Rattus norvegicus: one gene and its partners. The protein of the gene in region 5 purifies or fractionates together with the protein of the main gene of each other region. This does not show direct contact. Links are inferred from orthologs where the notes say so. Each region holds a gene or a part of one and is shown on either strand. Other genes may lie near its edges. The genes, in order: Ppp2r1b, Cttnbp2nl, Slmap, Cab39, Stk25, Proser2 and Cttnbp2.

Region 1 (3,543 bases), on a different chromosome or scaffold from region 5:
CAGGTCCACAGAGCATAAACATGTTCATGTAAGTCATGAAATACGTCAGTCTTAAACTAGCCTGAACTACCTGCTAAATGTTTTATGTTATATCACTGGTTCCTTATAGTTAAAGTTCATATATCTTTGCTTAAACAGTATCTTTTTACTTATGTTTAAAATGTAGCTTCAGATATTAACATTTAGTGGCCTGAGGTGTGGCTCAGCAGTTAAGAGGCCTGCTACTTGTAGAGGACCAGAGCTCCAATTCTGGTGTCCATATTGAATGGCCCATAAGTGCAACTCCAGTTCCAGAGGATCCAACTCCCTCGCTGGCCTTCATGGGCACCCACACATTTGGGCACACATGTACACTTTACACAGACAGTACATACATACAGATGAACAAATGATGTGAAAGTTAGTGTCAGGCATGATCGGAGTGCTTTGGATATGCCATTCACACCCAGCGGGCTTGAGGCTGACTCCTCATGCAGAGGAAGTGAAGCACAGGGATAGACATCTGAGGTCTCCCCGCGCAGGGGCAGACCTAAGACTTGAGTACATAGAACTGAACTCCAGGGCCTGGGCTTTTTACCATCGCATAGACTTTATGCTTAATTATTAATTAAAAGTTTTTTTTTTCTATTCTTTTTTTGGAGCTGGGGACCGAACTTAGGGCCTTGTGCTTGCTAGCAAGCGCTCTACCACTGAGCCAAATCCCCAACCCCTAATTAAAAGTTTAAACTTTATTATTGTGTGAGTGAGTGTGCACTCGTGTATACATACAGAGCTCAGAGGCTATCTCTGTGGAGTCTGTTCTCTCAATCCTCCTTTATACGAGTTCTGGGGATTGAATCCAGATTGCCAGTTTGTGAGGCAAGCCCCTGTTCCTGCTGAGCCTTCTCACCTGCCAATTTGTTAATTGATTTTTAAATTACAAAATCATGACTTTTTACTGATACTGTGGTTACGATTAGTGACACTGTGTTTTGGATTACCTGTGTACTTAGCACTAAGGATTTCTCTCTGCCGGTATTCCTCTGGTCAGTTCTGGCCCTCAAGTCCATGGCTCTGTGCAGGCTGGACAAATGCCTTTCTCACAGCCTCACTGCAGCTTACCCCACCTTTTAAAACCTGAGCCGAGACTTAATTTCTGTTTTCTGTTTTGGTTTGTTTGTTTTTGTTTTTTTTTCAAGACAGGGTCTGTCTGTGCAGCCCTGGCTGTTCTGGAGCTCATTCTGTAGACCAGGGTGACCCCCACCTTAAGAGATCTGCCCTCCTGTGCCTCCCAAGTGCTGGGGTACAAGATGTGGGCCACCCCCCAGCTTAGTACTTTTCATTTGAAGTTCTGTTTAGCACTTTTTATTTTCTCATGCTAGGAGAGTACTGGGCAAAGCAGCTAATTTTCACATGGAGTCTCTGGGGCTTGTGTGTTTATTGTAGTGTCCAGAAGTTCGTTTAAATATCATCTCCAATTTGGATTGTGTGAATGAAGTGATTGGAATCCGTCAGCTCTCTCAGTCTCTCCTCCCTGCCATTGTGGAACTGGCTGAGGACGCCAAGTGGAGGGTCCGCTTGGCGATCATTGAGTACATGCCGCTGCTGGCTGGCCAGCTGGTGAGTACCGTGCCGGGGAGTCCAATTGTGGACTTACGGCGAGTGGGGGCTCAGGTAGTCAGGCTGCTGTGTCTCCATCAGATGCACTGGAGTAAATTCTTGTGGCCTGCAGGATGCTTTTGTGTTTGCTTGCTTTTTCAAGACAAGGTTTCTCTGTGTGGCTTGGTCATCCTGGCTCTCCCTGTAGACCAGGTCTGCCTACTCTGCCTGCTGGGATTAGAGGTGTGTGCCACCATCTCAGAGGATGGTTTTTATTTTCAGTGGTGCATTATGGCCTAACAGGAGGGTGGTCCAGAAACACATTCACCTTACTGCCTCCTCATGATAAAGGTGTAGAATATGTAATTTCTTTATTAGTTTTATTCTAATAGATGTGAGTAGTTAACATTTCAAAGCTGACTCTACTGCACACCTTTCCCTTTTTTCTCAGTAGGGGAAGACGAGGGCAAGCTTGTTAGCCTCACCCCTACCCATGGTAGCTCTTAGACAGTTAACTGTGGGGTGGTTTCTGTGGCTTCATGGTGCTAGTTATTAATTAGACACTTGGCATTTCCTACGAGTTGGATGAAGGGAGACCTGAGTAGTTTCAGAATGCTCATGGATCAGTTTACTGCTGACATTTCTGTACTTTGCCCCCCAACCCCAGTGCCCTGCCCTGCCCAAAGGTTCATTTCCACTCCTTTCGGATCACAGCACATGGGCGGGCTCGTATTTTCTTGACCACTGCACCATTACTGATTTGGGTGGTTTATGAGCATGCGTCTTGTAGATAGCCATGTTTTATCAAATCTGAAATTCTCTGTTCCTCAAAATGAAGGGCAAAGATCCTAACTTATCCATGTGTCAAGTGATGTCATCTTATCATGTTTCTTCACCATCCATTCCAAATGGGGGTCATTTTCTGTTCCTCTGTCATCTTCTGTGTCACTGTCTAGAGTGGAAAGCAGCAGTGGCTAATGATGGGCTTGCTAGGTGGAACGAAGCCCCTGTGTGGAAGGAGGTGGAGGAGGTGGATTGTGTTTACCATTTCTTTGAACCTTACCCCACCAGACCTGGAAAGTCTCCAGGGCTGCCAGCAGTATGCAGAAGAGTGTGGAAAGAAGACAGATGTCGTCTTGGCTGGTTAACACCTTCTGGCCGGGGCAACATCCCTCAGTCATGGACACTGGCTGGGGTGGCATCTGTCAGTCATGGTCACTGTGTCTTTCTCTCTAGAACTGGAGTTACAGTTGTGAACTGCCATGTAGGTGCTTGGAACCAAAACCAGGCTTTTTGTAAGAGCTCAAATGTTCTTAATGGCTGGGCCATCTCTTGCCTCCATATTAGTATTCTTAATTTTTCTTTTTGTGTAAACTTTTAGTCAATAACATTTTCTCATGACTCTCCAGCCCAGCTCATAGGCCTGATGAGTAAATACAGAGTTAAACCACAGACTGTCTAAAGGAGATCACAGGGAAATCCTCAATCTGGAATAAAAGTAGGAGTCTGAGAGCTGATGCTGTGGGCGAAGTGCCTGCCAGATTTGGTCATGGCCTGGTGAAGCCGTCCTGTGTAAACACAGAACCCTTGTTGTTGGTCTTTCTTTACATACATCGTCACTGGTCAGGAATGTCTCAGACGTGAACCAGAAAGGAAGGCACCAGTTAAGTGTGCATCCTGGGCTTACCTGTGTGGTGTGTATGTCCTATGGCAAGAGGTCTTCGTTTGTTCCCAGCCTGTGTGGGGACCACAGGCTGAGAGTCAGGCGCCAGCTATCACTTCTACCTTTGTCCTGCACACTGGTGCCTGTTTTTTCTCTCTACTGCCTTCTCTCATGCTCTAGAAACACTGTCTTCTGTTGGTGATCTCTTGGTGTCACTTGCTGCGTGCTCAAGGACTTGCTAACTAAAAAGGAGAGATGAGAATTACCAAGCCCCTCAGCAGCTATTTTTCTGGGTAATTCAC
Region 2 (4,309 bases), on a different chromosome or scaffold from region 5:
TGAGGCAGGAACTCAAGGTAGGAACCTGGACTGAGAAAATGAGGCGGAAGCCATGGAGGATCAGGAACACCACTTACTGGCTTGCTCAGCCAGCTTTCTTATAGCACTCAGGCCCAAGCCTAAGGGGAGCACCGCCCAGAGTGGGCTGGGCACTCTCAACAACCACCACTAATCAAGAACACGCCCTACTGGCTTGCCCATGGGCCAATCAGATAGGGACATTTTCTCAACTGAAGTTTCCCTCTTCCCAGATGCCTCTAGCGTGTATGAAGTTGACATAAAACTAGCCGGCACACTAGGGTCAAATCAAATACTCAGAAATTACAATAAAAATTAACCAACAGTTCCTAGAGTGTTCTCCAGAACTCACCCCACCTCCACTAGGTCAGATTCTTATACATATATATCTGGCTCAGAATTCATGACAGTAAACATATATATATATATAAAACCTATCCAGAGATATTTTCTCATAGGAAAGTCAATATTTTAGCCACTTCAGATATTGCAATTTCCTATCATGTCAGATAAGGAAAAATCAAATTACACAAAGACAAGAAGGCGGATGGTTTAACAAGATGTGCCATACTTTATCAGTTTGTTATCTGTCTTGTTTGACTCTTATGTGAGAGCTTTAAACTAAATTCAGTGTTCCTATTAGGCACCGTGGAAGCTACAAGAACTTTTTGCAGTCAAAGAATAATTTAATGAAATGCACTAAACCCACACACACAAACTGTCTGCACACAATGCTTTTTTCATTTAACATGACCAAAAATGACAGTGAAAAGGTTATCGGAAAGAATTCTATCAGAGTTGAACATCATAGTACACGCTGTAATCCCAACAGGAGGGGAAGCCATCCTGGGCTACACAGTTTTCAGAAGCATAAGGAGACACAGTAGCACTCTTGATGAAACAAAACAAAACCAGCCCTCCAGATCAAAGGTATATTAAGCAGCTCTTGTTTATTGTGCCAAAACATCAGTGGCTTTATTCTGCTTTTCCTCTGTTTGTCAGGGCCCTGGAAATCACTACTCCTTAGGTTTCCCGACGTCTCCTACCTGGATTTATTTCCTGTTCTCCACTCATGTAATAAGATACATCTTTTGGGGGTTTCCTATTCTACTTCTAGTTTTTTTTTTTAAACCCCTGATGCTATTTCTGGGATAATGGATCTCTCCTTCCTATGGCAATAAACTTTGTGTTTGCAGGAGAGACCCTGTATACAGTTTCTTCTTTGTGCTTCCTTTCTCTAGGTGTCTGGAAACAATCACAGAGCCCTAGAGTGGCTCTGGAACCTGACTATTCAAAACTAATTACCTTCAGGAAGTCTACTCAGGAAGGCTACAGACAACAGCCACTACAATCGCCCTCTGTGACTGCAACTCTGCACCTCACATCTGTCGGCTATAAATAACCAACAGTAAAATGAACTCGGGATCAAAATTTAAAATGCCAAAAATATAGAAAAATTAATAGGTGGTACTGCTAGCCACAGCTGATGGTTAGAGATTCGATGACATTAACATCGGGACAGTCAACAAGGCTCTTGTTCTGAAATTGAAAACTACCTTTTATTTTAATGCTTTAAATTTTGGTTGATGATGCGGGCACGCCAGACAGAATCATATCACATGTAGATACGTTTTCTTTGAGATAAAATCTCATTATAAAACAGGGGTGAGATAGTACTCAGAGGCCACAGGACCAGATTAATTATAAACCTAGCCAACTGAACCTGAATTTTGTTCAAATACTTCCTGTCTTTTGTTTCAACCTGCCGTACACCTTCAAGGTTAACTGCAGTCTCCCGGAGCAACGGACCAGCCCACTACAAACTGAGAGATGGGGATTCCTACTGCAAAGGCATTTACTGACTTCTCCACACCGTTTCATTTGAAAATATGGTATTAATAACTGACTGTCAAACAATACACACTGCATTCCTACCCACACAAGGCTAACTCTGCTGAAAGCTAACACACCCACCTTGCTATGAAATATGCGGATGCTTTCCTATTAAGTTCTCAGGGAAGAAACCGGGTAGAAAGCAAAACTGAAAGGCAACTCAAACCTAAAAATCCCCCAAAAGCTGGCTTCTCCCACAAGAAAAATAAAGGGCGAGGAAGGTACAAAGGGCGAAGGGAAGAAGGTAATACATGATTTAAGCCGGGGAGCTCTCAACACTCAACAAGACAACACAGGATCTGGGGGGACCGTAGGAGCAATCAGAGGCTGGGGGATGGGAAGAGCTAAAGAGGGGAGAAGGCCGCTCTGACTGTTGGAGGTGTCTGTCTGGGTCTCGTCTTTTTTTTCCCTCCTCCTCGCCCATCCCTCATAAGAACAACGCTGTTTTTTTTTTTTTTAGATCTTATACAGCACCCTAGTTCTGGACCCAGACTTGCCAGCAGGGGCAGGTGTGGGAAGGGATGCCTGGACTTGCGGGGGTCCAATATAGGGGTGGGGGCTGCAGCTTAGAAACTGCACCCACCAGTCCCTCTCCGAGGCTAGGGCTGGGCAAAAGGCGACATGGAGTGAGACAGGTCAGGGGGAGACCCCTGCTAAAGGGCGGAGGCTGGCGAGAGACAATGAACAGTCGCGAGGACCCTGGAGGATGCCGCGACGCCTCCTCGGGGAATCCCGGGATCTGGAGGCGGCGGCCCCGCCCCCTAAGGGACCATCCCTACCCCGACAGGGACTGCTGCTGAAAGCCATACACGCTCCGGGCCGGGAGGCTCTCTCGGAGACCCGGCCACCCAGCACCGCAGAGCCCGGACCCCGCGCTCCGTACCTGGCCTCGGCGCTCCGGGATCCTTCCCCGCCGCCGCCTCCGCCGCCCGCTCCCCATCCCCAGCCTCCCAGGACCCGCCCCCTCATCCGCCGGCAGTGACCGGCAGATACCATAGCCAATTATAGTCTTGCCCTTGCGGCTCTGCAACCAATCCTCGCCGCCTGAAGGCTGGGCTTCTCCAAAGTCATCCCGGCTCCTCCTGGGGCTGCAAGATCCCTTTTGTTTGGGAGAGCCAGGCTGGGATTGAGCTGGCGTCACTTCCGGGAGGAAGTACCACCTCTGGTCGGCTGGAGTCTGGGTTCGCTCTGCTCTCCGCCTGGGCTCTGCAACTTTTCAGGATCCTGAGAACACCTTTTGGTGGCTTAATTTGGGGTTTATCCAAAATGTGAATAAAAGAAGTGAGTTTTAGCGTTTGTTTTAGAATTAGTTATTGAAAACCTAGTAACGTGTCTTCTTTGCTTCTCTCACTTTCTCTCTCTCTCTCTCTCTCTCTGCACTGACTTTTGGGTGTGGTGCTGGAAAGCAAGGGCACAAGACCATCTCCTTTAACACATCACACTGGGTACACAAAGGGAGACTCTGGGGTTGAACAGACAGGACAGCACCCGGTAGAGGAGGGCATAACCCCTGCCGACCTTCCTTTCAGGGCGAAGCCAAATAATTGCAAACTTACGCGCAGTTTTCCCACACTGTGCTTGCCTTTCATGAATGTGGGGCCCTCTTTTATATGTTTGGGCCCCGTCATACTGTGGGGAATGCGTTTTTAACGAAGCCAAAACAAAACAGTTGGATGAGGGGGAATGACTGTCCTTGTGAACACAGGAATGCAGATCTTAGTGATAAAAACAAGACCGGATAACCTGGAGGGAAGAGAACGCACTCTACCGTAGCCTGCACTTCAGCTCACAAGTGATTGACCACATTGTTTTAAAGAATTTGTAACAAGTACATGTAAGAAAACAAGTATTTAAGTGCACAAGTAACATGCTACTCTGAATACATTATTCCTAATCCTCACAATTATCAGCAGGAGAATATTAGGAATTTAATACTCTCTCTGCCTGTGGTTCTCAACCTGTGGGTTACAACCCCTCGGATAACCTTTATCTGTAAAAAAAAAAAAATACCTACATTACAATTTATAACAGCAAAATTACAGCTGTGAGTAGCAGCGAAATTATGGTTGAGCACCACAACGTGAGAAACTATATTAAAGGACAGCAGCACTAGGAAGGTTGAGAACCACTGCCCTAGGCAAACACAGTCCTCGAGACAGGTGCAGTTTACAGTCTGGGTAGAGAGATGCCCAGCCTGAGTAATCATGGTTTAGAGGAAGTAAAACAGTATTTCCTGTCAACACAGTGTTATGTTCATCCATATAATATCCGTGTCAGTGCTGTCATACCCTGTATAGTGGACATCACCGTGAGTGATTATGACGAGTCAAAGAAACCAAGAGATCCAACTGAAGGTTATAGAATTAATAACTGGAAAAGAAAGATTACAAGACTAACT
Region 3 (3,543 bases), on a different chromosome or scaffold from region 5:
TCTTGAGCTCTTCTTGCAAAGACATAAAGTCAGTGTCCCGCTCAGACACAGCCTTTGCTGCTGCTTGATGAAGGAGCAAAATCTCATCTTGAGCACTCAGCAATTTATCTCTCGTGCTAGAAATCTCAGTGTCCTTTTCCTCCTGGAGATTCTCCATATCCATGTGTAGCCTCTGCAGCTGGACTGTAAAAGTGTATTTATCATTTCCCAAGTCACAGGGATTAGGAATGCAATTACAGCACATTACAGGTTTCAGCCACTGTGCAGCCTCACTCTCACAGCTCTTTTTCCTCACTTTCTTTTGATTAAACTGCACATGTTTGTACAGAAAATACCAGAACACAGATGTAAAAGAAAAAAGCCAAAAACCTAAAGTAAATTTATTTTAGTATGTTGACATTTATTCTTTTTTCTAATGCCTTCATTCATATATAAAATAACGAACATTGAGTACAAAGGGATTTATATATGCATGTATATAATATATATTTTTCTATCTTCTTGCCGATGAAAATATTTTGTAGGGAGGGAGGCAGTGAGACAGTTTTAGCTGAGGCAGGAAGGACTCAGAGTCATTACCCAGCTGAGGTGGGCCTTAAACTCATGACCATCCTGCCTCTTACGTGCTGGATTACAGGCATGCAGCACTCCAGTTAGCATGACCCTGCCTTCTCAACTCCAGTGTCTATGATGGGTTACTGGGACAGTCCCTCCCTTTGTCTGCTTTGAAGGCCAACTGTCCAAGGGCCTAGTACGACGGTTTCTAGGGAAGAACAGAGCCATGGCAACTGAGGACCCTCTGCAACCTTACTTTCCATTCCTTTGCAATCACTGAACACAACCATAACCACAGCTGTCTTAACAGTCGTGGGAGCCCCATACCTTGAAGAACCTGGATTTGTTTAGCTGATTCCTCAACTTGATTTCGATAGGCTTTTCGTTCTTCTTCCAAAAGAGCTAAAAGGCAAAAACACAGTGTATCTAATTTTGTGAGTTAATGAAAAACATTCATAATTGTGCAACTAGAAATTTCTAAAATTTGTCTTTTAAAGTTTATGGAGAGACACAAGGTTAGATGTTAAGTATTATCAGTATTAGCCATTAAGATTTTAGAACACAAAACAATAGTAAGTAAGAAATCTATAAAATCTAGTTCCATAATTTCATACACTGAATACCAGTAGGCTTTTCTTACACAAGAAATATTCACATAATTGTTAGTTATCATTTTGAGCAATGCAAGATAGCACAGGTTTATAATCCCAAATACGGGGACGGTTAAGACAAGGAGTCTCACAAGTTCAAGGCCAGCCTAGGCTATGTTAGAGGGTTGTGATAGCTCTGTGGCAGAGTGCTTACACAAAGGCCTAGGTACAATACCTGGTACCATTAAAAAATTATCATATTAAGGACTGGGTATCATACTGCATACTTAATCTAACCCAAACACTGAGGTAACAGAGGCAGGCAGATCTCTGTGAATTCAAGCAAGTTGTCATCTATGTAGTGAGTCCCTTTGCTAGCAAAGGCTATGTATTGAGACCCTATCTCAAAACAAAACAAAAAAACTCTACCCAACCACGAACAAAAAAACAAAACAAAAACCCCAAAATGGAATATTCTTGTGTTTATTGTCAAACACATAGTAAATAAAAACAATGGCTGATTGATAAATATTTTTCATTGTAATTAAACATTAGTTTGTATCCTATAATAAAGTCAAGAGAGACAACTGCCTACTTTTTAATTTCTGCAGTTCTGTGGCTGAAAGCCAGGGCCACATGCACTGGGCTGGCCTTCCTTAAGATAAGCCACAGTCCTAACAGCTCATCAGCAATCATGTCTTTAAGAATCAGGAAAGGAAGTAGTTAGGAATTCACAGCTTCATCTTGGCATTTGAATTGTTCTGCCCAGGAAGGGAATCTCATAAAACTTAGGGGTGCCATAAGGATCCATGGGCTGGATCTTGGGACTCTCCAAGACTTTAACTGCCAAAGGGCAATGGTTCCAGAGGCGGATGATTATAGGCCACGAGGAAGAGAAGTGGCTGAGATGAAAAAGACTTTTTTTTTTTTTTTTGAGGGCATCTAACTACCCAGACTGGCCTCAAACTTACACCCTTTCCCCTCTACATAGACCACTGGCCTCAGCTGAGAAGATTCCATATTTTGAACCCTGTCTGCAACCTTCCTGTTAAATAACCACCCTGAAAAGTGAGCACTAACTTAATTTACACGGTTCCCTCCTGAGCCAGGCTTGTGTGGATCCACACTGGTGGATGGAGCATCTCACATCCAAACACATGTGCAATATGAAATGCTATGAAATCTGAATCCTTTGACCTGAGCATTTGAGATAAGGGACATTCAGCCTGCAAAGAGCACAGACTAACAATGAAGCACAGAGCTCTTCTGTCGGTAGAGCTCTTGTGCTCCTCACAATTACAAAGGCAGAGAGCAGCTGTGATAGCCCTCTCACCAGCTGAAGTGATGTCTGAGAACAGCCCAGCCCTGGCTCTCCCTGCCATGCCTCTGGGCTCTGAGCTCTTGTGCCATCACACCTACTCTGCCTCACAGGACCCCAGGGGGCTGCAGGGATCTTCGTCTCACCTTGAAGGTCAAAGCATTTTTGTTTACTTGCTCTAGCTAGCTCCTGGGCTTCCACCAATTCTTTCCGAAGATGTTGAGTGTCTTGTTTGGCCTCAGTTTCTGCCTGGGTACCCTGTAAGTCATCTGACAAAAACACGTTTTTTTAAAAAGCAAGTGTTAGTACTGCACTATATTCTCTGTAACTAGTGTCTGGCACTCTTTCATGTTTAGACATACATAGTTTGCAACATGGCACAACTGAGTTAAATAAAACTTAGAAGCAAATTAGAGTAAGCACATTAGTTAACACAGATACTAGTACTATAAAAGATAGAAATTAACATACACATAATTGATGTTCATCTCCTGTAAACTTGAAATCCAGTGAGGAGATAGGCACACCACTGTTTCCATCAGTTTTCAATCATGTTCTTACTACTACGGTTATTGGTGTGTGTGTGTGTGTGTGTGTGTGTGTGTGTGTGTGTGTGTGTGTGTGTGAAAGAGAGAGAGAGAGAGAGACAGAGAGAGACAGAGAGAGATGCATGCCTGCATGCCACAGTGCAGATATAGAGGTCAGAAGACAACGTAAGGAAGCTGTCTCTTTCTCTCCCCCATGGGGCTCCCAAGGATTGAACTCAGGTTATCAGGCTTGGCAGCAAATGCCTAATTTACCAGAGCAACCAACCCTCTGCCAGCTCCTTCTCCATCGACTTTGAAATTCAAGAATAAGACAAGAAAAACTACCTGGAGCTAAAACAAAAATGGAAAAACAAAAGAAATTCATCTTTAAGAAAGAACGTGAGGGGGTTGGGGATTTAGCTCAGTGGTAGAGCGCTTGCCTAGGCCTAGGAAGCGCAAGGCCCTGGGTTCGGTCCCCAGCTCCGGAAAAAAAAAAAAAAAAAAAGAAAGAACGTGAGGACGAGCAGGCTCAGCAGGGAGAGGAGGCACTTCC
Region 4 (3,543 bases), about 7.7 Mb from region 5:
AATGAAAAGGCAATGGAGTGATTTCATGGCTTGGGGAGTCAGGACAACCTGAGGAACTGTATCAAAGGGTCAAAGCACTGGGCAGTGGTAGCACATGCCTTTAATCCATGCACTCAAGAGGCAGAGGCAGGCAGAGCTCTGAGTTGGAGGCCAGCTGGTCTACAGAGCAAGTTCAGCACAGGCTACACAGAGAAACCCTATCTCAAAAACTAGAGAGAGGGAGAGAGAGACAGGCATAGAGGCAGAGGCAGGGATGGGCAGACAAACATAGAGGGAGAGAGAGAGAAAGAGGGAGAGGGAGAGAGAGAGAGAGAGAGAGAGAAGAAGAAGAAGAAGAAGGAGGAGGAGGAGGAGGAAGGAAGGAAGGAAGAAAGGAAGGAAAGGAAGGAAGGAAGGAAGGGTTGCAACATTAGAAAGGGTGAGAACCACTGCTCTAACATCAGAACCCAGAATCTGGCTTCAAGTCCTAAGACTAAAGGCTTTCTTTACTCTTTGTGCCTCCTTTTAGCCTCAGAGCAGCAGGTGCCACTAATGAGTGTGTAGAGTATGTGACCTTCTACCGCTCAAGCTCCTGGAGAGAATGCTAAAACACAGTGAGATGTTATTTGCGAATGTGACATCAGCTAACAAGATTTTAGAAAGCCATTTTTACAGAAATGTGTGAAGTGCAGTCAGATCTGAGGGAGAAGAAATATCAAGTCCTACCAAAAAATATACTTAAAACCTTGACCACTTTTTTGGTTTTGTTTGTTGGTTTTTGCTTTACCAACTAAAGAATGGGGGGAAACAATCAGTTAAAAGATGAAAAGATATGTGCTGGTTGCTCAGAATGTCCTGTTGACATAGTTGAAGGGAAGCTGGGTTGCCTGACATGCATTGGCATTAATTGCTCCTACCCTGATGACATGTTCTTACTATCCCCACTTGGAAGACCTGGTGGACCCCTATCACTCTGATTTACAGCTTTGCATTCCCCGGGTCTCTCATTCCAGGAATATCTTTCCTTCATCCCATTTCTAAGTAATATCGATCCCTTCACCTTTGAGCCAAGTTCTCACCTTTCAAAAGTCCTGTCTCCTTAATACTGGAGGTTTCTCCCCTCTCTTATCTTTATTTTCTCTCCTTCCTTGATACCGTGAAAGAACGGGTTCGGTTTTCTCTTTGTGGTTTAGACAAATAGAGTTCCTGTATATGAAATGATAGGAATTTTTTAACACCAAGAAATGAATATGGAAAGTGTGAGAAGGTGTTAATGCAGTGGTCCTCACTAAGCAGATATTTACATTATGATTCATAACAGTAGCAAAAAGTTAAAAATAGCAATTACATAATGTATGGTAGAAGGTCAGCCAATGTCTTAAAGGGTTGCAGCATTAGGAAGGTTGAGAACCACTATGTTAATGTTTTATGCACATGGAGTTAGGGTATAGAGGGGGACTTGTCAGTGTAGTCTGTGGATCTGACTGGAGCCTGGAAGGGACCAGTCCCAGGAGCTCCCTGAATAGAAGTGGCTGGTGGCATTGCCATAGGGGCACATGAGGAAGGGAGGTTTGACATCATTGTCAGCAGGAGAGCTCAGGCCTTTGTTATTTCAGAGTCTGTCCTGAACTTTACAGTGTTATCTAGCTGCCTTTTCCTTAACCCTGATGTGTGTTTTCTGGTCTCCTAGTTTTTCAGTGAATATGAAAAGCTACTTCATTCAGAAAATTATGTGACAAAGAGACAGTCACTGAAGGTATGGCACATTCTCTTTTTCATGTCATTCATTTCTCTTCACTATGTATTTGCAACTTGAATTTGGAGCATCAGGGACATGCTGGTGCTGGTTGTAGACCTTTAGGAAAAAAAGCACATTTGTGCTTTGAGCATGGTTGGGGTCTTTCCAGGGTGTGGGGTGTGGTAGTGGTCTGTATGCCCACATTATAAGGTAGAGACCCCAAAGGGGAATATGCCACTCAAAGCTGGAGATCTGAACCCAGGCAGCTAGCACCAGGACAGGTGCCCTTCTATCCGCCCACAAGGATATTGTCTGCTCCCAGCCCGGTATGTGGCTGATAGACAGCCTCAGCTGGAGCTCAGTGCAAGCACAACCTGGAGGACAGTCCCAGCTGAGCAGTAGCCAGCCGCTTGCACACTGGGTTCATATGGAATAGTGAGGAGGTACTGAGACAGCGGAGACGGTCTCAGCTCCCTGCTGTGCTTTCTGAGCAGGGCTGTCTTGAGGAACCACTGCTGAGATGCAGCTTTTTGAGGCAGATGTGAGAAAATGAAAAACAGCATGCATTTAGGCAAACACCACCCTTCATCCTGGAAAGCCCTGCTAAAAAGAATTTAAAACAGGAAAAAAATTAGTTAATAAACGGAACTTCCTCTACCCTTTCCTTCTTTGGGAGGTGGTGGTTTGTTATGCTGTCATTTTTTTTTTCTTTTTTTTGGGGGGGGGGGGTTGGGGACCGAACCCAGAGCCTTGCGCTCGCTAGGCAAGTGCTCTACCGCTGAGCTAAATCCCCAACCCCTATGCTGTCATTTTTATTTTTGTTACTGTCTTTTGAAACCAGTCTCTTCTAGCATCAAGTGACGACTGGAAGATGGATTGTTTAATTTTTTGATTTGCTCTAAGTCTTAATTTAAGAGTAATGGTCTAAATGTCTTCTCAGCTTCTGGGTGAACTGCTGTTAGACAGACACAACTTCACTATTATGACGAAATACATCAGTAAACCTGAGAACCTCAAGTTAATGATGAACCTCCTCCGAGACAAGAGCCGTAACATCCAGTTTGAGGCCTTTCACGTGTTCAAGGTGAGCTGCACAGCAAACAGTACCTTCTTCTGAAACTTCATTACAAGTCCTAAAGTACTGCCCGTGTTGTAACCAGTCAGAGCGTGCAAATAGAGGCGGGGCCTGGGTGGAAATGGGCTGGGCCCTTGCTAGTGAGAAGAGAAGTGTAGTCAAAGAAGGTGGGTATTACTCTTCAACTTGCACAGAGGTGTGCAAAAACAAATGCTGCCCCTCCTGTCCTCGTCTTCCCCCACCCCCCATCCCATCTGAGGCTCCCCTCAGACTCTTTCTCTAGCTGCTTAAGTAAGGTCCAGTACAAGGCCAGAGGTATTTTTAATGCTTTCTTTGTGGGGTAGGGTGTTAATCTTAAATTTCAGTCTGACCTCCTGTGCCCAGAAATAATTATTTGATTCTAAACTCAAAGGTGGTGTTTAGACCTCAGTACTGTGTGTCAGGGCAGGCAGAATGGCTTGGCAGTCTTTGTGCTAAGCCTGTAGTCATCATTATCCCCGTTGTCATGTAAAAGTAAGTTCTTCTGAAGAAAGACTAATGCCCTACCCGCCCAGGAGCTGCTGGATGGGCACTGATGTCTCCTCTGACGGACGTAGTTTTCTCTTCTGCAGGTGTTTGTGGCCAACCCCAACAAGACACAGCCCATCCTAGACATCCTCCTCAAGAACCAGACCAAACTCATCGAGTTCCTCAGCAAATTTCAGAACGACAGGACGGAAGACGAGCAGTTCAATGATGAGAAGACCTACTT
Region 5 (4,122 bases):
AGACCAGCTCTCGGGGAACAGCAATAGATGCTTGGAGTAGATCTGCCACCTGAGCTCCTGAAAGGCCGCACTGAGATTGGCCTGACAGAGAAAGCTGAGGATTGCCTGTGTTCCTTAGGCTGTACTGGCCAGGAAGTAGTGTTTGATCCCAGCCACTCCTACTTAAATGAAAAGCCAAGAAAAAAATCTCTAGTGTGGCTGATAGGTCAGACACTTCAGCTATTTCAAGATCAGCACTGGATCCAAGCCAGATCAGAAAGAACCACTCCAGGCCATGGGCTCTCCCCACACTCATCAGTGTAGAGACAACTGATAAAGGTGGATGTGATCAGTGTGACAATACCTTAGCCTCCTGTCACTTCACGTCTGGGCAGTGACCACTTGATCCTCTGCTCAATGCCAGCCCTGAAAGTCAGGTGCAGAATAAGGTCCACATAGCAGACCTTTACCTGCCTGTTTTGTTGATGTTTTGTTTTGTTCTTTTATTTTTGTTTTTCTGCCTGTTTCTGCTCCAGCAGGCCCCAAAACACTTCAAGCCATGGGCTAACTACATAGCCCAGGACCACTATCCTTCCAATTCTCAGGGCCCCTTTCCTACTCCTCAGGCTCAGACACCGTGTCCTCCCACACTGCTCAGCCATAAGCCATGAGAATCCTTAATTGGGGAACCTAAAGTCAGAACTGGTCCACTATAGCAGCCCAAGAAGGATACTTCAGGCCAAGTATTTACTCACCACTGCCTCAGAGGAGGAGAAAATAACAGACCCCAAAGCCAGAGTTCTAAGCTTTGTGCAAGGAAGGGGGTAACCCTAGTCTTCAAAGTCTATGGATTTTTTGGGGTACCTACAGCTGTGTACCAGCCATCCTTAGAAACAGTATGACAGGAACCTTTCTGGCATGGTCCTGACTCTGTATTTATACCTTCGAAGCAGCCCTAGTCCCAAGCCCAGCCAATCAAAGACAGCTAGCATCCTGATCTGGGTGGCTCAGATTTCTCTTCTGGACAGGATGTGCTATGAACCATCACTCAAGCCATTTAACTTACTCTGAACAACTGAGACCCATACACTCTCCATTCTGTCCTGGGGATATTATACCTACAACCTCACCCATACTCTCTCCATTCTGTCCTGGAGATATTATACCTACAGCCTCTGGCCTATCTGCCAACATGCCTGCTGTGGATCACCTACCCAAAACAAGAGGAACAACTCAACACACATCCACAACTACCACCACAGTCACACAGAACTTTCCCATAACCATGCTCCTCCCAGAGATGGGCAGGAACTGGCTAGGTAAAAGGTAATCTAAGGCAGAAGCGGAGAAAGTACAAGCCTTACCACACAAAAGGAACAGTTTCATAGGACTCCATGGCAGCCATCTTGGGAGAAAACAGCCCTACAAAGGTTTTGTGTCAATCTCAGAAGCCAAGTAAGTCTACACTGGACATAGGCCTCTAAAGAGACAAAAGGGTGTTTTTTTTTTCTCTTTGAGAAAGGTCCACTAGCCATCATCTCTCTACTCCTTCACAGTTCATAGTTCCAATTTGTCATCCTGGGGGCCTACAGGAGCGAAGCCTAAGCGTCTTAAAAATAAACCAGAGGCAGATTTTTTTTTTCTCTCAGTGTGTTATATAATTAGAGGCGAAATGTCAAAAATGTATTAAAAATGTGTTAGCTTAACTCAGCATCAGTTAGCAAGCGCAGGATCCCATCTGTGACAGCTGGGACAAAAGCCCTACCCAACAGCTGTGAGGAGTCTTCCAGGCTGGTTTGGTTTCCTCCAAGGAGCCCTGCTTCCAGTTCCTGCCCACAAGCAGCGGATGGACACGCTTCCTGTCTGCACACCCAGTTCTCAAGGATGCAGGGAGAAGGGGGCGGTGGGGGGGGGGGGGGACGTCGGTTGCACTGTCCTCAAGAACTGATTCCCTCACTGTGCAACTGTCAAGCCGAAGCCTAACCAAACCGAGCCCTTAAAAAGCAAATCCCACAGCTAAAGCCAGAGAAAACCAGCCGGCAAGATATTCTACTTCACTAACGGCTGTCCTATTTGCTTTGAAATAACAACAACAATAAATAAATAAAGGCGAGAAAAGGGGTCCAGAGAGCAAACCACCGAGCCCTCTACCCCTATGCAGCCCCCATCTCCCTGCTGATGCAGTTCCATGTTGGGGTTCCATCCGTTAGCCAAGAAAGGAAAAGTCTATCTTCTGGGAAGGGGCTCCGAGCTTGGGTCAAGCAGGTTCTGCCCAGGGCAGGCTCCTGCACCTGTCCACACCAGCTCCAGAGCAGAACCCCTCACATAGCAGAGCTTCCCTCCCTGTGGTTCATGTCTTCCGCAGGCGCTGGCTCCGCCGCGCAGGCCAGAGCTACAACGGCCCGAAGACGCGCCCCGAGGCATTCGGCCTCCGCCCCTCTCCCGCCCCAAGTGGACAAATCCGCTCCGACGCCCACACTCACCTGGTGCGCGAAGCCCCTGAGGTGAGCCATGTCCCCGCTGACGTGACCAGTCCGTCGCAGCCGCTCCACCCGCTCGCCTCAAGCACCTGCAAGAAACCGCAGGCCGCTGGGTCAACAGCGGCCGGGGGAGCCGTTCCGTGGCGTCCCTTCACCCGCGACCTCCGGTCCCGCGCCCAGGGCCCCTGACCCGCCCCCAGGGCGTGCCCAGCCTCCCCAACATTCAGGCGAGGCCCGCTGGCAGCGCCCACCTCCGGGCGGCTCCATCCCGGACTCCCGGCCCGCTTCGCAGTCCCCACGGCGGCTCACACCGCAATTCGGTCTCCCGGAACGCCCAGGCCTCCCAGCCCGTGAGGTGGAGGCAGCGGCTCTGAGCAGGACGTCGTGGCGAGCGCGAAGCTCTGTGGGACTAGGAGTCCCGCAGCACGCCGGGTACCCCAGGCACGCAAAATTGAGACTACAAGTCCCAGCAGGCTGCGCGGTAGGCTTCGGAGTTACGCAAGTGCTCTGAGGCCCTGATGGCGTCAGACTACATGTCCCAGGAGAACATGCGGTGGGAGGTCGTGTGGAGAGGCAATAATACGCCACAGACTAGATCCGAACCTTGAGAGACAACCCGGGCTGGGCCGCCCCTGCCGTCAGGCCGCGCGGTGTGACGGGTGCAGCGCGTGCGCAGTTGCCTTACGTCTTCAAACCCCACCCACCCATCCTCAGCCCTCTTCTTATTTTCCCAGCTCTGTTTGCTCAGTCTCTGGGACCCACCCATACTATGTACCTTGAGTGCAAACCCATATTACCCTCAGGTCTTGGTGCTTCAGCTTTAACCGCAGTGCCACCCTTTTGTCTGCACTTAGCAACACACACACACACCCTTAGAGAAGTCTTGGGCAAGTGCTTCTCTCCTGCCTCAGTTTCCCTATCTGAAAAGGTGTAATCGTATGCCCCCAGGACATGACCTGGTTCTGGGAAGACTTGTGTGATCCAGCATGGTTTCCCAACGCTGGAAGATGCCCTTCGTCCTGTGAATTCAAACCGAGTGACCCTGTCAGCAGTGACCATTTCTATGCAGTCTCTTAGTGCTCCACTGGAGGGAGATTTGACTCAGTACTGTGTCCTTTCTGCTGAATCAACACCTATGATGGCTCAGTGCAAATCACCATAATGTCCCCACTCCCCAGCTCACGAAGGCTTTTTGTTTCTGTTCTCTGGTGGATTTTCGTCTTGGGCACCATCCGGGGCCTTCTTAAACCTTGCATCCAAGACTTGCATCTGACTCTCCAAGCTTTACTACATGTCGATTAGGTTTTGTTTGCTGTGTTTCTCCCCAGAAGAAAATAGACTTCCAACAAACAGGCCTTGCACTGGGTCCTGAAGCACTGTGGTCCCCCCAAGGCATAAACAATAGTGGAGGTGGAGGGGGGCGGACAACTATTTTTATTGCCTTTGAAAAAGACCATCTCTAAGATGGTCTTCAGGGTAGCCTGACAGTATGGGTCCATTCCCGATCCCTCCTATAACTAAGTCTGACATTTGGCAAGGTCTACTCTGTTAAGACTTTTTATATGTACACATGTGTGTATGTCACATGTGAACAGGAACCTACTGAGACCTGAAAAGACTTGGATCTCCTGGAGCTGGAGTTACAGAGGGGCTATGTGCTAAA
Region 6 (4,148 bases), on a different chromosome or scaffold from region 5:
TGGAGGTACTCGCCACCAAATGTGACAACTTGAGTTCTATACCAGAGGTTCACATCGTGAAAAAGAGTACCCATCTGTGTAAACTGTCCTTTGACCTCTACATGGGCACTGTGGCACATGCACATATATGTGCATACATGTACACGAATGTGCACAATGCACACGAATGTGCACAATGCACACACGTGCATAATACACACGTGTGCACGTATACACACATGTGTACACACATGTACACACATGTATGCACACAAATACATGTAATAAACTTTTTTTTCTTAATGAGAATCATTTCAGCACTTGGGAGGTAGAGATAGATGGACTGGAAGCTCTACCAGGCATCAAGCTCAAGTTCAAGACCAGCCTCAACTAAATGAGACCCGGATGGGGCAGGAGTGGTTGATGGGTGAGAATCAAGTTTTCCCAGTGCTAAGGTATGCTCCATTCACAAAGACCTAGCAGACTCTGCTCCAGAAAGGTTGGATATGAGGCCGTACAGACCATTAGTACAACACCGGCTTTTGTTAAATTCTCTCAAATTTCAAGATGGGTGCTGTCACCCCGGGAGGGAGCAATGGCCTTACGGAGGAGGAGGAACTTCTCTGTGGTTCACACAGACAGGCTATCAGCTCAGCACACTGGAGCTGGTCAGACAGACCACAGATATAGCTATAAGAGACGGCCAACCCAGCATGAGCAGAGGCACTCAGAGACTGGACAGAGGGCCCTCTCTGTAAGACACCCCTGAGGAAGCCATGATTGAGCAACCAAGAAGTGCAATGGAGACAAATGCTACCCTTGACCATCCAAGCACCCAGGATCTGTGATGCTCCTAGGATTCCCCTGGCACCTACCAAATGGCCCGATGCCATTGGCATGCATCCCATAACAGCTCAGATAAGATACACTCGAACTTTTTGTTCCAGAGGATTCCCTGTGCTGGCCTCTGCTCCCCACAGGTCATCCACTTGCCTCCCTTCTGGTTTCAAGGCTCTGCTCTGCCTCCAGCAGTTACCTGAGCCGATCTTCAGATCAACACAAGGTGCCAACTGTAGGCTCCTGAGGTGTCTGAGAACCTCAGAGCCGAGGCCAGGAGTCTCATCAGCCACCGACGAAGGCAGGATTACCAGATCTGGGTTTAATCAGTTTGGACCCCACAGCTCTTTATCTAGAGATTCTCCATGTGCATTGGCAAGTCAGGGCTCAGCTGGTCAGACAGACCACAAATGTACCATGGAGGAACTGAGGGCCTCACCAAGCCTCCCTTAAAACAGGCCAACCCCTCTGCAACAGAGGAAGCACGAGACTCCGAGACTCTGTTTTCAAAAGCACAGCCCATCTTTGTAGCTGTTACTTATCCTAGTTTCAAATGTCTGTTTTCTATGAATGGAGAAAAAAAAATGCTTTCAAATTATCAGCATCCAAAATTTTCCAGGAGACGTTTACTAGAGGCACTGTTAGAAGGAACCAATCCAGACCCTGGAAAAAAAAAGCCTATTACTCTTCTGGGCAAGAAAATACAGAAGATTCCATACATACACTGTCAACCTGGCAAGAAAGGTCTCAGCCTGACTTCCACCCTTCCCACCCAACCCCAAGTAAATAGGGCATTTGTTTGTATTTCCACATTGGCCGCACCAACGAAAGTACCTCCTCCACCTAGAAAAACAATCTGGAACATTCAGGCACGGAGTACGAGGGCAAAGTTTTAGCACACACTGGAGCACCTCATAGAAAAATTATTTTTTTCACAAAAGTCCATCCTGCAAGCACTTTCCCCAAGTTTACACTTAATACCTGGTTTGGTATTTCTAGATCGTTCCAGGACAAAGCGTTTTGTTGTTGTCTCTATTAAAACTGGAGCCAGAAGGAATCTTCCCACAGCAGGGCTTGAAAGTTTTACTCTGTTTAGGGGAGAAACACACACACACACACACACACACACACACACACACACACACACACACACACACACATTTGGGCTCCCCCCTTCATTTTCTCCTTTGCACCAAATAGGTTCAGGCAAAGAGTTAAAAGTTGTCCTGCGGTTAAGTGCCTAGGGGAGGGGGGCTAATTGCTTAAATTTAGAATCCGTCAAACAATGCTGGGAAACTTTCTGTCTTGGGGAAACGCTGCAGTTTATTTGACTGCCTTTTGTTAAGCCCTGTCCCATTTGCAACATATTCGTTCTTTCTAATCCTACGGTCCCAGGTCACCCCGCAGCCCCACACAAACATCCCCGCGCGATTCAGTTACCTGCGGGGAACCGGCCGGGGCACGGAAAACCTGCGGAAAGATTCGCGCAGGATCCTGGTTTAACAGGTGGCTCCAGGTTTGAGCCTCGCAAGGGACACGGTCCTCACGCGCAGTCGGCTCCAGGAAGGGTAAGGGACCAAAGCCTGAGAGTCTGGGACCCAACTCAGACAACACGCCAGGAACCACTGAGCGTTCGCCCACGGGAAAACCCCAAGGTGAAAAGCCACGCGTCGCGACCCCCGAAGTCCCGGGATGAAGGCCATCCGGTGGCAGCACGGTGGGGCAACGACAGCGCCCCAGCTGCGCGCAAACGACTTCCCCAATTTCCGAGACCCGGACCCGGCGCCCCGGATGATCCGGACAGCTGCTGCCGCGCCCCGCACCCCGCTCCCGGCGCCCGGCCTGTCCCCGCTCAGTGGGGCGGAACTCACCGAGCCAAGTCCCCTTCGCGGGTCGCAGGTGTCCACGCCGACTGAGACCCGCAGGGCTCACGCCGTCCGCCAGCCAGCAAGTCGTGCACGCACACACGCCGATCGTCCCGTGCTGCCTGGCGCGCGCTCTCTGGCACCCAGCACCTCCCTGCCGCGCTCTCCCGGCCGGCCGCGCGCGCCCAGCCACACAGCACCTCGGCAGCGCGTTCCCGGCTACAGGAGTCCCGTGGGCCAGAGGTAGTCTGCGCGCCCCCGCGAAACTTAAAGGGCCAGCGCCCAAAGCCCTGGACTGGGCCTTTCAAGACTTCTCCTTGTGAGACTGAACTGAGGGTGAGCAATGTGAAGTCGCAATGCGGACATGCTTTTGAAGCCCTGAGTAAGAAGGGACTTCACCAGCAACTTCATCAGCAACTTTGAGAGTTCCGTTGGTGCTTGCTTTTTGAAGTAGAATTTCACTATGTAGGATGGCTTCAAGTTCATGATCCTCCTGCCTCAGCCTTCTGACTTCTGGGATTACAGGCATTCAACAACACTATTCTAAAGAGTCACTATCCATTTAATAATAATAATGGCTGTGACTGATGAAATACTTACACTTTCAAACAAGGCACATAGCATACATATTTCATTAATTCATTCAGACAATGTTTTCTTTTTTCCTATTTATTTTTGTTTAGGGGGTGGGGTTAGGTCTTTGTTTGTTTGTTTTGAAAAGGGGTCTCATTTTGTAGACTTGGCTGGCCCGGAGCTCACTACACAGACTCTGATTCAGAGAGACCCATCTGCAGGCTAGGATTAAAGACGTGTGCGACCACGTCCAGCTTTTTCACTTGTAATGAACTTATAAGCATTGCCCATTTGTGAGTTACTTGTCCTCATGCCTGTGCACATTGAACAAAGTTTTCAGCAGAGTAGACATGGAGCTCCTTAAACATTTATCTTTTTTTTTTTTTGTCATGAAAAAAATGTCAAAATCCTTCTTGCTTTTTGAGGACTTTGGTTTCTTTTGATCCATCTATCCACTCATTCATCCCTTCATTCGTGTGTGTGTGTGTGTGTGTGTATGAGTGTGTGTGAGTATGTGTGTGTTTATGTGTGTGAATGTGTGTGTGTCTGTGTGAGTGTGTGTGTAGTGTGTGAGTGTGTGTGTAGTGTGTGAGTGTGTGTGAAGTGTGTGTGAGTGTATGAGTGTGAAGTGTGTGTGAGTATATGTGAGTGTGTGTGTGAATGTGTGTGTATGTGTGTGAAGTGTGTGTGAGTATGTGTGAGTGTGTGTATGAGTGTGTGTATAAGTGTGTGAAGTGTGTGTGTGTGTGTGTGTGTGTGTGTTCGTGAGTTTCGTCACAAAAGGGAAGGTCAGCAAACAGCCTTCAGGAACTGGTGCTGTCTTTCCAACACGTAGGATAGATTTCAGGGCTCAGGACAAGCCCCTCAATCTGATGAGCCATCTCCAGGGCTGAC
Region 7 (4,004 bases), on a different chromosome or scaffold from region 5:
CTCCCTATCCCCTCCCCCTCCCCATACAGGTATCCCCCCCCATCCACCCCCCTTACCGTCCCACTCCCTCCCGACATTCCCCTGACTTTGTTTTTTGTTTGTTTGTTTGCTTGCTTGCTTGCTTGTTTTAAACGCTTTGATCTATAACCCATACAACTGAACATTCCAGTCATCCATCTTCCAGAATTTCAAGCGTGGGATTGGGTGGTGCGTTGATTCGGCTTCACAGAGACACAATTTGAATGTCTCCATTTGATTTTGTGCTTTCAAAGCATTTTGGGGGGATATGGAGATTTGGGAAGGTCTTTGCCCTAAGGTCTCAATCACGTGATAGACTTTTCAGATTCAGCCAGAAAGTCTAAGAGCAGAATTAGAGGTAGGAGATGGGGAGGCTTGGGCCTAACTCATCCATACAAACTCCAGCCATGCATTCCCATATGATCATTTTGACAAAGGTCTGTGTGTGTATCCTTGTGTCCTAACTTGTACGAAGGAAGTTGTTGTTCTCTCAAAAGTAGTAAGACATCACTGGATACTTGGTGCTTTTTCAGAACAGATCTCAGGCTGGGGTGGGGGTGGGAGTGAGGGATTCCTCCTTCTTTGAAACGAAGCAGTTACCAACCGAGCAGATAGGTACCGGCGGATGAGGGGTGCTAAAAACAGCTGGACACAGACTTTGAGCTGTGGGTTCAGACTTAGAGTTGATGGTTTTAGAGAGGACTAGCATTGAAGATGTGATAAAAACAAAGCCGGGTATACAAACCAAGAGGGTAGACGTTTGCAGGCCACAGGGACTGGAAGATATTAAGAAAGGCACCTCACTGGAGCTAATGGTAGTGAGGAACGGTTGCTCGATTTTAGATTTTTTTTTTTTTTTTTCACATCCAGGAGTCTGGCCCAGGATCGACTTGAGCCCGGCTGCCTAAGCAAAGATTTGGCCAGCCTTTGCCTCGTGGGAGGAAGCGTGCCTTCTTTTGCAGCCCCGGGTGTCTGTCTTTCGGACATCAGCGCGAGGCCGCGCCGCTCCGGTGCCAGTTCTTGGTCCTGTGGGAGCGACTGGTGCGGGCGGGCGGGTGGGCGGGGCTCCGCGTTTCCAGCGCGCAGAGGGTTAAGCGGCAGGGGCGGTGCGGAAAGGCGGGAGGGGACCGCCGAGCTCCGGGGCTGAGAGCGCCGCGGCCACAGCCAGCAGCGGGTTAAGCGCCGCCCGCGCCGAGAGAGCTGAGCCCTGCCGCCGCTCCGAGCTCGCATTCGGATCCGCTAGAGCAGGAAGATGGCGACGGACAGCGCGAGCTGCGAGCCCGACTTGTCCCGCGCCCCGGGCGACGCGGAGGGGGCCACGGCGGAGGCGGCGGTAACCGAGTTCCCTGGGCACCGGGATCCGTGTAGACGGGGGCTTGGGTTGGTGCCAGGATCCCCACTGGACACTCCCCTATGGGTGCCCGGTCCTTTCCTGGGATGCCTTGTCTTTCTCTAGGGTGCCCCCTTACTTCCACGGGGTTCCTTTTCTTTACCCATGGTCTCTCTTCCCAAGGGTTTCCCTTCCTCCTCCTGGATACCCCCTTTCTCCTGTGCCTCTTCCCTTGGATACCCATTCCTTCCCCGGGGTGTGCCCTTCGTGTGTCCCTTCCCCAGGGTGTCCCCCGGGACAGAAGCGGGTTCATGTCGGGGAACGCCACCTCCTACACACACCCAGATGCTAGGGACCCGGTCGGTCCTTCTGGACACTCCACACATATCCCTGATGACCCCCATGCCCATTCGCGGGGTGCTATGGAGGATCTCAGTCCCCATTGTTCACCGCTTCGGGGCGCAGAGCGGACGCGAGTCTCGGGGTGCCTGACACCTCTCGGGGGACCTGGGTTAGTAGAGAGGGGGAGGTGAACCATCGCCAGGCAGGTGTGGGATGCTCTGTGTGTGTGTGTGTGTGGGGGGGTCATGTGTCTTGGGGAGGCTGGTGGGAGAGGCCCAGCGAGCACCAGCACTTTGGGTCCTAGCTGACTGCTGGCTCAGTCAGTCATCTGTAGGGATGATCTTCCAGACCTAAAGCGGGATTGAGCTGGTTTTTCTGAACCTGGTGTCAAAACATTGTTCCCTTTCTCTGGCGTCTTAAGTTCCTTAGGCGCATACCCGCTCCCTTCTTTGATACTCTGTCTTCTGCATGCACAGATATTACCTTCCTACCTTGCTTTGGGGGTCTTGACCCACAAAGCCAGGTTGGAAAACATTCTCAGGTCGAGGAAGCAGCTTTTGCTGGAGCTGCAAAGATCTGCAAAGAAAGACAGGTCTGGGAGCGCCTCCCACCCTTAGCCAAATCCAGCACCTCAGAGGATTCCTTAGTGGGACAGAGTGAGCTGAGCCCCGCGTGGACGACCCCTCGTGTCTCCCACCTCTAGATCCAAATCCGGGTCTGGGCAGTGGAGGTCAGGACCAGACGTAAACAACCTGTGTTGTTGAATTTCCTCCCACCTCTGGCTTCGAATGGGAAAGGAGAGACGTGGAGGAAGGTGCTTGGTGGTGAAGGCTGCAAAAGCAGAATGCTAGAGGAGGGTAGGGGAAGGGAAACTACTAACCCCCATCGTGAAAGTGGAAGATATGGGCTTGGGGAGCTTTGAGGGAAATTCGCATTTTTCATTCTTTGCCGATAAGAACGTTAAAGATATTTCAAATGAAACCTTTCCACATGTGAATTTCTTTCTATGACAACGGAGAAAACAAGTCCCTCTGGGAGTTGAAATTATCAACTGTCCTGTTCTCCATGGGAGTGGGGGGAGTGGAGGTGTGGCAGAACTCGCCTCTTCTCTCTCTCAGGAAGGTGGATAGTTTGTTTAATCTACTTAGAATACACCCCTTTGTGCCTACACGATATTTCAAGCCCAAGATAAACCAACACCAGCACGTGGTTTATGATGTGTGATGTAAAACTGTAAACAAAATTGCATTGTCAGGAATACTTTTGTTCCAACGAGGTCAGTGTTCCTTGTCAAATGTTCAAAAGTGTCAGGAGCCTGATTCAAATGCGGATAAATTAGCAGCTTGATGACGTGACTCTTGTTAAGGGGAAGAGTCAAGAAAAAAACTCTCCCGAAGGAAAGGAAAGAACCTCTTTCAAGGGATCCTATTCTGTAGGCTTCCAACCTGCACTAACAGCACACTTATGGTTTTTAAAGTAAAAATGTTACGCTTCAGTCTGTAAAATTGGGCTATATTGATTTTTTACCAGTAGTTTGCGCTTGAAAAGGGGACTCTTAACATGACCTACTTGAGTAAGCTGGTCTTTATTTCCAGGTAGGGTCACAGGGAGCTAAACCTTACCATGGAGTCTCAGTCACGTACCTCTCTGTCTCCTGAGGTGCTGAAATAGAGGACCTTACCACCACCAGCCTGGTTTTAGGCTGTTTTTGTCGTTGTTTTTGGCTCAAGAAAGAAAAAAAAATAGAGAAATCCTGTTTGTCGTGCTTGTTTTTCATCTAATGGTTAAAAATTAAATCTTTTAGTTTGCTTTTTTTCTTGGCCGACAAAAAACTTAATATATACATATTTTTAATTTTAAGGAGAAATTCTCTTTCTGCCCTGAAGAGATTTATTTCATTTCAAACTGGTTTACATCTTGTGGAATTTTATATATACATTTGGCAGAATCGAGCTAGTGAAGCCTCAAAGCCATTGGCTATTTTTGAAAGAGCATGTTTTCAGAGGGTTTTTTTTTTCTTTTCTATTTAGATTGTTGCTTAGGAACTGGCTTAATTTATAGTTTGCAGTTTAATATAATTTCCAGTGGAATGTTTTAAATTTAGTTTGTTATCCTTGTTCTTCGTTGTTTAAATCCTGAAAGCACCTCGAGCTAACAGCTACATCATTCAATAGGATCTTATTAATAGTCTACGCTGTGATCCATGCTGGGAGCCTGGGTTATTTTCAGTACCTTAGCCAAATGCAATGACTTTTATAGGCCATATTGCTATTTCTGCTCAGAATATAATTCTTTCTGGTAGGCAGTATGGAAA

Evidence for each region.
Region 1: the proteins of Stk25 (region 5) and Ppp2r1b purify together in Homo sapiens (affinity purification with mass spectrometry; 3 studies listed by BioGRID and IntAct, with this or other methods). This does not show direct contact. The link is inferred for Rattus norvegicus from reciprocal best matches to the Homo sapiens genes STK25 and PPP2R1B.
Region 2: the proteins of Stk25 (region 5) and Cttnbp2nl purify together in Homo sapiens (affinity purification with mass spectrometry; 6 studies listed by BioGRID and IntAct, counting the BioPlex papers as one, with this or other methods). This does not show direct contact. The link is inferred for Rattus norvegicus from reciprocal best matches to the Homo sapiens genes STK25 and CTTNBP2NL.
Region 3: the proteins of Stk25 (region 5) and Slmap purify together in Homo sapiens (affinity purification with mass spectrometry; 5 studies listed by BioGRID and IntAct, with this or other methods). This does not show direct contact. The link is inferred for Rattus norvegicus from reciprocal best matches to the Homo sapiens genes STK25 and SLMAP.
Region 4: the proteins of Stk25 (region 5) and Cab39 purify together in Homo sapiens (co-immunoprecipitation; 3 studies listed by BioGRID and IntAct, counting the BioPlex papers as one, with this or other methods). This does not show direct contact. The link is inferred for Rattus norvegicus from reciprocal best matches to the Homo sapiens genes STK25 and CAB39.
Region 6: the proteins of Stk25 (region 5) and Proser2 purify together in Homo sapiens (affinity purification with mass spectrometry; 3 studies listed by BioGRID and IntAct, counting the BioPlex papers as one, with this or other methods). This does not show direct contact. The link is inferred for Rattus norvegicus from reciprocal best matches to the Homo sapiens genes STK25 and PROSER2.
Region 7: the proteins of Stk25 (region 5) and Cttnbp2 purify together in Homo sapiens (affinity purification with mass spectrometry; 3 studies listed by BioGRID and IntAct, with this or other methods). This does not show direct contact. The link is inferred for Rattus norvegicus from reciprocal best matches to the Homo sapiens genes STK25 and CTTNBP2.

What each region holds. Positions count from the first base shown.
Region 1 is NC_086026.1:60,102,518-60,106,060, forward strand, and holds part of Ppp2r1b (serine/threonine-protein phosphatase 2A 65 kDa regulatory subunit A beta isoform), read left to right. Parts: intron 1-1,425; coding exon 1,426-1,599; intron 1,600-3,421; exon of another isoform or gene 3,422-3,534; intron 3,535-3,543. UniProt on the Homo sapiens protein: The PR65 subunit of protein phosphatase 2A serves as a scaffolding molecule to coordinate the assembly of the catalytic subunit and a variable regulatory B subunit.
Region 2 is NC_086020.1:195,240,076-195,244,384, forward strand, and holds the start of Cttnbp2nl (CTTNBP2 N-terminal-like protein), read right to left. Parts: upstream 2,829-4,309; 5' UTR 2,795-2,828; intron 2,130-2,794; exon of another isoform or gene 1,993-2,129; intron 1-1,992. UniProt on the Homo sapiens protein: Regulates lamellipodial actin dynamics in a CTTN-dependent manner. Associates with core striatin-interacting phosphatase and kinase (STRIPAK) complex to form CTTNBP2NL-STRIPAK complexes.
Region 3 is NC_086034.1:1,687,362-1,690,904, forward strand, and holds part of Slmap (sarcolemmal membrane-associated protein), read right to left. Parts: intron 2,733-3,543; coding exon 2,610-2,732; intron 958-2,609; coding exon 883-957; intron 184-882; coding exon 1-183. UniProt on the Homo sapiens protein: Associates with the striatin-interacting phosphatase and kinase (STRIPAK) core complex, forming the extended (SIKE1:SLMAP)STRIPAK complex.
Region 4 is NC_086027.1:93,966,588-93,970,130, forward strand, and holds part of Cab39 (calcium-binding protein 39), read left to right. Parts: intron 1-1,669; coding exon 1,670-1,735; intron 1,736-2,657; coding exon 2,658-2,801; intron 2,802-3,403; coding exon 3,404-3,543. UniProt on the Homo sapiens protein: Component of a complex that binds and activates STK11/LKB1. In the complex, required to stabilize the interaction between CAB39/MO25 (CAB39/MO25alpha or CAB39L/MO25beta) and STK11/LKB1.
Region 5 is NC_086027.1:101,618,545-101,622,666, forward strand, and holds the start of Stk25 (serine/threonine-protein kinase 25), read right to left. Parts: upstream 2,816-4,122; 5' UTR 2,711-2,815; intron 2,549-2,710; 5' UTR 2,493-2,548; coding exon 2,463-2,492; intron 362-2,462; exon of another isoform or gene 344-361; intron 1-343. UniProt on the Homo sapiens protein: Oxidant stress-activated serine/threonine kinase that may play a role in the response to environmental stress.
Region 6 is NC_086035.1:77,060,048-77,064,195, reverse strand, and holds the start of Proser2 (proline and serine-rich protein 2), read right to left. Parts: upstream 2,806-4,148; 5' UTR 2,688-2,805; intron 2,397-2,687; exon of another isoform or gene 2,257-2,396; intron 1-2,256.
Region 7 is NC_086022.1:47,927,717-47,931,720, reverse strand, and holds the start of Cttnbp2 (cortactin-binding protein 2), read left to right. Parts: upstream 1-1,180; 5' UTR 1,181-1,270; coding exon 1,271-1,351; intron 1,352-4,004. UniProt on the Homo sapiens protein: Regulates the dendritic spine distribution of CTTN/cortactin in hippocampal neurons, and thus controls dendritic spinogenesis and dendritic spine maintenance.